Linked DNA regions of Canis lupus familiaris. The protein of the gene in region 2 purifies or fractionates together with the protein of the main gene of each other region. This does not show direct contact. Links are inferred from orthologs where the notes say so. Each region holds a gene or a part of one and is shown on either strand. Other genes may lie near its edges.

Region 1 (4,381 bases), on a different chromosome or scaffold from region 2:
TATTACCAAGCCATATAACTTTTTTTTCATTGATATAAACTACATCTATAGTTATAACTATAAATAGATATCAACTATAATGCCCATTAAATTTGCAATTAATAGAAACTCTTGATGAGAAACCTTTTTCAATATAGAGCCATGATTTCCCAAGCAAAATTCAATGTAAATCAGCCATTCTAAAATGCCACGGAATATCCTAATGACATCCTTGTACTTAACTCTGAAATATTTTCATCATCCATCAGTTAAAATACCTAAATTTTCCTTAAAAGCATTATGAAAACATCTATATTGAATTTATGCATACTCCTCAGTGACATAAATGAGTATTTTCTCCATTTACACATAAGGAAACTAAGGCACAGAGGTGTCCATTTTGTAAATTGCAAGGTCATTTCCTAACCAATCACCTGATACTACGCTATCAAGTTATATTATATGTGCGCCACTTCCAAATGCCATAAAACAATTACTGTATCTTAAAACAACTGCCTCTGCGATGCCTATGTGCAATTCTGTTTTATCCAGAGGGTTATGGCAACAAGCTTAAACAAGAGAAGCTGGAAGGGGAGGCTTACCAAAAGAACAAACAAAAAACAAAAACAACAACAACAACAACAACAAAAAAAACACTTATTTTTGGTAGTGAATCATTTATTTTTAAGGAAGGAGAGGTAGACAGTTTTTAACATCATAATCACGTAACCAACAGTTGTTCCTTCCATTTTCAGAAACATATTCCATCTTTCAGGTAGATGGTGCAAAACTGGAGCCTGCCCATCCTTGGAGAGAGAAGTTAGAAAAAAAAAAAGAGAGAGAGAGAGAGAGAGACAGAGACAGAAAATATCCTAACAGCAAGTCATGTTAAATACATGATATTGCAAAGAACTGAATAAATGAAAATAAAATAAAATTAGAGGAATTAGCAAATGCTCATTATTGGCAGTTGAAAAACCCCCACCTTCAATATGAAAGGCTTCCTTTCATTCAACTGAAGGCTAGGATCAGCAATAAAATATTCTATTACTGAAAAACAACCAAACACCAAAACTTTTCTCATTCAAGACTCCAGAAGACTGTAGATCATAGTCCTTTCTTCCAACACTCGCCGTAAAATAAAAAATACTTTGCTAACACAAAGTCAAGCACCTGGGTGGGGGGTGGGGGTGGGGGGGAGAAACCGCTCCTGGGAGCAGAGGCAAGCCTGCGTTTCTAATTATGCGATAGTACTACCAGCCCTTAGATGGAAGTTGCCCCCCGCGCACACTGAAGGTGGGCACAGGAGACGGGGCGGATGACCCACACATCAGTTACCGCACGAGAAACAGGACTTAACGGGTCCGCGGATCCACCACCGAAGACGACGTTAAATTGTGAGCCGAGGCTCCCCTCCTGCGGAAACGGGGTGGGGGGGGGGGGGCGGCGGGATGAGACCGGGTCCTATTCGAGCGTCTCGCTAGCCGGGGGTTAGCTAGATCAATTAATCGGCTGGATTAATCGGCGCCAGGCTGTGAAGGTTCGGGCCGGGATGGGATGCGCTTTCGGTCGCGTCCTCCTTCCGCGCGCATCCCCCGGCGAGCGCCTGCGGGCGGCGGCGTCGGAGCACACCGAAGCTAGGGGGCACGCTGTAGCCAGGGGAAAACAGAAATGGGAAGAAAAAGGTGCAATGGATGGATGCTGCAGAGTTGAATAATGATCCGGGCGGCACAATGGGCGAGTCGGGCCGACGTCGGGGCGGAGGGGCGGGCGGCCCCGGGGCGTCGCCTTACCTCTCGGTCCGTGACAGAAAGACGCGCGGCGCCCACACGCAAACGCACCGGCCGGCTGCGCGGAGCCTCCCGCACGTCGCGCGAGCCCGGGCTCCTCGCCCCCGCCCCCGCCCCCGCCCCACCCCCGGGGCCGCAGGGGGTGCCCGGCAGCCCAGGTGACACCTGCAGTGTCCCCACCTCGGGCGGCCTCGGGCGGCCGCCGTCTCCCTCGGCGTCTCCCTCGGCGTCTCCCTCAGCCCCCGGCGCGGCTGGCGGGTGGGCGGCCGGAGCTCCGGAAACCCGCGGCCGGGGGGGGGGTGGGGGGCGGGGGCGGCGCGCCCATCCCCGTCACCTTTACCGGGCGGGAGCGCCACACACACACCTCCGCGCGTTCCGGCCGGTGAGGAGGAGTTCCTCCCGCGGCAGCGCCCGCCCCCGAAACACAATTCCTGAGAGACTCGCGCTCACCGTGAAATCATGGGGGGCGGGGGGGCTTCTGCCTTACCCCGTCTTCATGCTTCGGTCCCCCCTCGGCCGCCGCGACTCCACCTCAGAGCCTCCAGGAGCGACGGGCTCCGGAGCGGAACGGGCTCCGGGCTCCCGGGAACGCCGCCGCGCCGCCGGACCCACCGTGTGCTCGACGCGCGAGCGAACAACGCCGCGAGCCGCCGCCGCCGCCGCCGCCGCCCCCCACCCGCCCCCTCCCCGCGCGCGACGCTCCACAACCGGGCGCGGCGATCCGCGCCTGCAGCGGGGGAGGGCGGGGGGGGCGACCGCGGGACCTCGGCACCTAATCTCCCGTCCCTCCCATCAGGACCTATTCTCCACCACTCAAGGGCTTCCAACTCAAGCTCCTCACTGTCCTCTTCAGCTCCCAGCGCCCGGGTGCCGCCGCGGTGGAGAACTCGGCCTCCGCCCCCTCAGCCGGCGCACGGCAGGAAGACGGCTTCCCCCCCCATTTCCCGAGGCTCTATGGTACTGCCCGATCCTCAATTTGGGGGAAGGGGATGGAGAGAACAGCGCTCGGCCCGGGAGTGAGGGAAGAGGAGAGCCAATTGAATGAACCCTCCGTCCGGGGGCGGGGCCGCGGAGAGGCCCGCCCACTTGGCCCCGCCCAGTCCCTCCCTCCGAACTACACTTCCCACTGCGCCTCTGCCAACTTCCCGCCGCGCTGCCCGCCGGGAGTGTAGGACCTGGCTGCCTCGAGGCACTTCGGGACTCGTAGTCTTTCGTCTGGCCACGTAGGTCCTGGAAGTTTTTAGGGACTGTAGAATTTTTCCTTTAATTTCCCTAGATAAGCGCTTCCGTGTTCTCAGCCCTCTTGTGCGTCTTCGAATACCACGTTGTGTACATCTTAAAATGCCGTAAGTGAGTTGTTAGCGAAGGAAGTAAAATAACGTGTGTGTGTGTGTATAATCCGTCAGGTCATCTGTCAGGACCTGGAAGCCGCTTCTTCCGCCCGGGCCTGGTCTCCGCAGAGGGTCTGTCGCCGTCATGTCGGCTGCGATTGCAGCTCTGGCTGCGTCCTACGGCTCGGGCTCAGGGTCCGAATCGGACTCGGACAGTGAGGGCGGGCGGTGTTGCCTGCCAGCCGCCGACTCGCTCATGCACCTGACGAAGTCGGCTTCGACCAAGCCCTCTCTGGCAGTGGCGGTGGACTCGGCTCCGGAGGTGGCAGTTAAGGTAAGCTCTGGGGCCCCCGAGGCAGTGCGTGCGGGACTTGCCCGCTTCTGCCGCGGCCATCGTCAGGCCCCGCGTTGCCTCCTCCGCGGGGCTGAGGTAGAAGTCGCCCGCGCTCGGATCTCTCCTCTTCCTCCTGCCGGCGTGGTCCTCGGGGGGGAGCCGGGGCTCGGAAGTTGCCCTCCGCTCTCCGGCCGCTCCCGGCTTTCGCCTCCCGCCACCGAGCGAGGGTGAGGGGTGGGGGTGGGGGGGCGTGAACGTTGAATTTATTGTGACCAGGACGTGGCCTGGGTGGCGCAGGTGTGAATCGGAACTTCCCAAACTAGCCTCCCGTCGAGGTGCGCGCTGGCGCGGCTTTGTTGCTGAGGTCAGAGCTGGATTCTGATCGCAGCTCCGCCACGTCTGTGAACTTGGGCAAGTCCTGCAAACCTCCGCTGTTCCATCACCCGGCCGGCGGGGCTACGTTTAGAAGTGCGTTCTCTCTCCGAGAGCGTTGTGTAAAAATTAAGTGAAATGATAACGATTGTAGCGTCTACTGAAAGTGCCATAAATGTCAGTTTACCCCCTTGTGATTATAGGTATGTGTGTAGGTACGTCTATGTATATATTTTTTAAAGATTTTATTTATTTATTTATTCATAATATACATATATATATATATAGAGAGAGAGAGAGACAGAGAGAGAGAGACAGAGGGAGAAGCAGGCTCCATGCAGGGAGCCTGACGTGGGACTCGATCCCGGGTCTCCAGGGTCACGCCCTAGGCCGAAGGCAGACACTGAACCGCTGAGCCACTCAGGGATCCCCTATGTGTATTTTTGTACTCAGACGTATAGTAACACAGCGAGAAAAGGCCGTGCTGGGTCCCAGGTGGGGAAAGTGATAGAGGGAGAAACCGGGCTGTACGAGTTCACTTAATTGTTTGCTGGAGACATGTTATTTGCCAGGGA
Region 2 (3,805 bases):
GGTGGGACCAGGGCTGTCTGCAGAGCTGGCAGGGGCTCAGGACTCCCATCAGTGGTAGAGACAGGCCCAGGGACCGCAGCAGGAGGAACGGGAGCCGGGGCAGCTTGGTTAGGGCTCTTGGACTTGGAAGGGGGTGGAGAGAAGGGGGCAGGCACCTTGGGGTGAGGAGGTATGGCAAACCTGTCACCCAGAGCGGTCGACATCTGTGTACCAGAACGATCTGAGGGGGCTGGGTCAGAGGATGAGGAACAGAGGGACGTGAGGGAGGAGGAGACAGAGGCCCCAGGAGACCGAAGGGAAGTGACCCGCTCTGGCTTAGGGGGCTGGGCCTTGCCTGGGGAAGCAGGGGCCCCTGCTAGGCCCTTGGGAGGGAGGGTAGGGGTACCGCTTTGGCTCGAGTACCCGCTGGAGGGTGAGAGCGTCCGTTCTGGGGAGCGTGGGGGACGCCGGGAGCCACCTGGAGACAAGCCAGGCACCCAGGGGCCTGCTGAGTTGGGGGGACAGGGGGCTGACCCCACCCCCTCTGACCCACCAGTGGTGGGCGGCCGGGGCACCTGCGGCTGCTGCTTCCGCTCAGGCTTGGGTGGCAACCCCAAGGGCCCATCAGGTGAGGCCAAGCCCCGCTGATGGAGTGAGTAGGTCCGGCGGGGAGGAGGCGGGGGCCGCTTCAGCTTACGTAGGGACACACTCCGGCCAGACAACTGCCCACTGCTCCGAATGCTGACTGTATCTGAGGCCTCAGCAGTGCTGCCCCCACTGGGGGAGCCCCTCCCACTGCCCCCCTGTGGAGGGGGAGCTGCACTATTGCAACCCACAGAGCCCTCAAGCCCACCCTCAGAGCCACCCTTGGAGGAGAGGGTGGAGCCATCAGACACGATCGTCTCAGAGGACTGAGAGTGGCTCCAAGTGTCACTGGAGGAGGAAGGGTGGCGGCTGCGGGGCCGCGGACTGGAGGCCGAGGAGAAGCGGCCCAGCGAGCGGACAGAGGCAGGGCTGGCTGACAGCAAGCTGCAGCGGCTCAATGTGCGCAGGCTGCAGCGGCCCAGGGCCACCACGTCCACTGTGGGCGGCAGGACAGCATCTGGGATCAGTTTTGACAAGTAGGTGGCCTGGGGCGAGATGGACATGGCTGGGCTCAGGGGCTCTGGAGGCCCTGCCCCTCCTGTGAGTCCAGGCACCGCTAAGGACATGGGCCGGGTCACCGGTGGGGGCCGGGCCCCCGTGGACCGACCAACGAGGGTGTCATCCCGGTAGATACGGTCAATGTGGCGCTGCAGCATGGCCTCTGCCTCGGCACCAGCCTCAGCCTGTGCCTCCAGCGCCTGCAGGGACACCCGGGCCCCTGTCCCCGAGGCTGGGCCTGCTGGGCGGCCATCCACTGTGGGGATGCGGACGGCATCCCGGGGACCAGGAGGCCGAGGGGTACCCGGTGCCTCACGCTCATTCCGCAGGCCTGCATGGGACAGGGAGGACATATGAGTCAGCAGAGGGTTGGGCCGGAGGTCCCCACACCCCCCTGCGACCCTCCTACTCTGGGGCTCACCGAGTTCCTTCTGCACGTGCTGAGGCAGCCCCAGGACCGTGCTCCGTCTCTCACGCCGCCGCCGCCCTGACTTCCCGGATGATTTGGAAAATGAGTCATGAGGTCGGAAGGTAGAGCCTGGGGGCCAGTCCAGGGGAGAGAAACCATTAGAGAGCAGGTCTCAGGGCACATTTTGCAGAGCACTGCTTTCGCAGAATAACTAACAAGAGCTCTGCAAAAAAAGATTTCCATAATCAAGTAGGCGTGGGCAAAGCTAGGTTAAACAAAGCTAGACACTTCTTTACTGTAAGACTGCTGGAAGGCTTTACTAGGCCAAGGATAATTTCCACTTAGTGAACAATTATTATGTGTTAGCATGCCAAACATTTGGCATTCATTCTGCTAATGCAAGTACTCTTATTCTCATTTTTATAGAACATCAAACGGAAGATCAGAGTGGTTATAGGTTGGCCCCAGGTCACCCAGCTGCGACGTAGCAACATCAGGCTCAAACCCAGGTTTCCTGACTCCTAACTGTCCAGCTTTGTGGTCTGTGTGTGTGTGTCATGAGTCTCCAAGAAGACGCAGGATACTGCGTTTCCTGAATTCACTGACTCACAGAGCCTGGACAGGAGGGTGCCAGATTAGGAGGAAAAGAGGAAAGCTGCAGGGGCTAGGACCCCAGATCATGCCCACCCACCCCACCCCACCCCGCCTTGTCCAAGAATGTGGGCTGGTGAGCAGACACCTTTGCGCTGGATCATCTCCGAGCGGATGGAGAGCGCATCCTCTGCTGTGGAGCTCTCGGCTGTGTAGGATGTGGTCTGACTGCAGAAGGAGATGCTATCCTCATCCTGCCCGATCCGGGAAGACTGTTGGTGGAAGGAGATGAGGCCCCGGTATCAGACCAGCCCAGAAGCCTATGTAGGCCTCTTGCTTTTGCCCCTTTGGGGCAGCTTTTGACTCCAACTCTCCCTGGCCTCACCTAGCACTGAGCAGACATCAGCTGGCCTGGCCCTTAGGAGTCATCTAGTCTAGCCCTTCAGGATACAAGAAGGAAATGGAAATCCAAAAGGGTTCAGAGACCTATTTGCCAGAAATTAACCATGGAGGGAAAAGCAGAGTCAGGACTGAGCTGGGGGCAGGGCTCACCTGGATGCTCTGGGTGTCTCCATGGTCCCAGCCACCCTTATTCAGTTTCTGTTTTTCTGGAAGACACCAGAAAAGTGTGTTGAGCCAGGCCCCTGACCTTGGGAGCCAAGAGCTGTACTGGAAGGAAGGAGGTTACCTTGGTGTTGGAGGGAACGGAGCCCCTCCTGGGCCTGTGTGTGCAGCTCTTCCAGGTGAGGCGGTCGCCCACTGGGGAAGAAGACATTGTCCTGGTGCTCATCCACGATAGACCCTGGCCCCTGGCCAGGCCCTGCACTTAGACGTTTGTCACTCTCAGCCTTGGCAGAGCCTAGTGGAATGAAGAAGGAAGACAAGTGAGGCCCGAGGGCATCTGGGTCCTGGAGGTACCAGGCACCACAACAACGGCACCCCTGATCCTGAGACTGCACACAGCCCTGCACAGACAGGCAAAGACTACTTCCCCCAATCTGTACACACAACTCACAGTTCTCAGTTACACACTCAGTACACACAACCCCTGCATACACATACAAACTATCCCCAAGCACACTTTTATCTGAGTACCCACACCACACAAAGGACCCCATACAGGTCATATACCCAGGGCACACCACCCCACCATATATGCACACAACACCCACAGGTTTCAGGATGTACACAAATAAACAGCACCCAAGTATAAATACATCTGGAAACCAACATCAAACAGGGGGTCCCACAGAACACACCTAGCCCCTACATATATACACAATATCCACAGTCCCCATTCTGTACATACTCAAACAGTACCCAGATATACACACAACTGTACTGGCACATCACTCAGGGCCTGACGCAAAGCACCCCATATACGTATGGCCCATAGCAAGTATATTTCTCTTGTCTCGCACATGCCAAGCTCCACTTTATGGAAAACAAACAACCCCCTTCCTATACCCCCTTGGCCCAGGCCCAGGAAGACACTGTGGGACACTAGAAAGGGGTAGAGGCCAGCAGGGGTCATGACCAGAATTCCCAGGAAGTCCTGGGAGGAGGGACAAACCAGGGACATGGCCTCTGTGTCCCATACTCACCCATGTGGCTGTCCCTTAGTGGAAGGATGGGCAGGGGAGAGGAGAAGGCCCCAGGGGCCTTCTACCCCCAGACAAGGCA

Evidence for each region.
Region 1: the proteins of KIAA1522 (region 2) and WASF1 purify together in Homo sapiens (affinity purification with mass spectrometry; 3 studies listed by BioGRID and IntAct, with this or other methods). This does not show direct contact. The link is inferred for Canis lupus familiaris from reciprocal best matches to the Homo sapiens genes NHSL3 and WASF1.

Annotation. Positions count from the first base shown.
Region 1 is NC_049233.1:67,248,748-67,253,128, forward strand, and holds the start of WASF1 (wiskott-Aldrich syndrome protein family member 1), read right to left. Parts: upstream 2,809-4,381; 5' UTR 2,569-2,808; intron 2,424-2,568; exon of another isoform or gene 2,220-2,423; intron 2,054-2,219; exon of another isoform or gene 1,950-2,053; intron 1-1,949. Other genes in the region: CDC40 (pre-mRNA-processing factor 17), read left to right, coding at 3,246-3,434.
Region 2 is NC_049223.1:67,961,743-67,965,547, forward strand, and holds part of KIAA1522 (uncharacterized protein KIAA1522 homolog), read right to left. Parts: intron 2,982-3,805; coding exon 2,811-2,981; intron 2,731-2,810; coding exon 2,675-2,730; intron 2,395-2,674; coding exon 2,271-2,394; intron 1,661-2,270; coding exon 1,544-1,660; intron 1,454-1,543; coding exon 1-1,453. UniProt on the Homo sapiens protein: Able to directly activate the TNF-NFkappaB signaling pathway.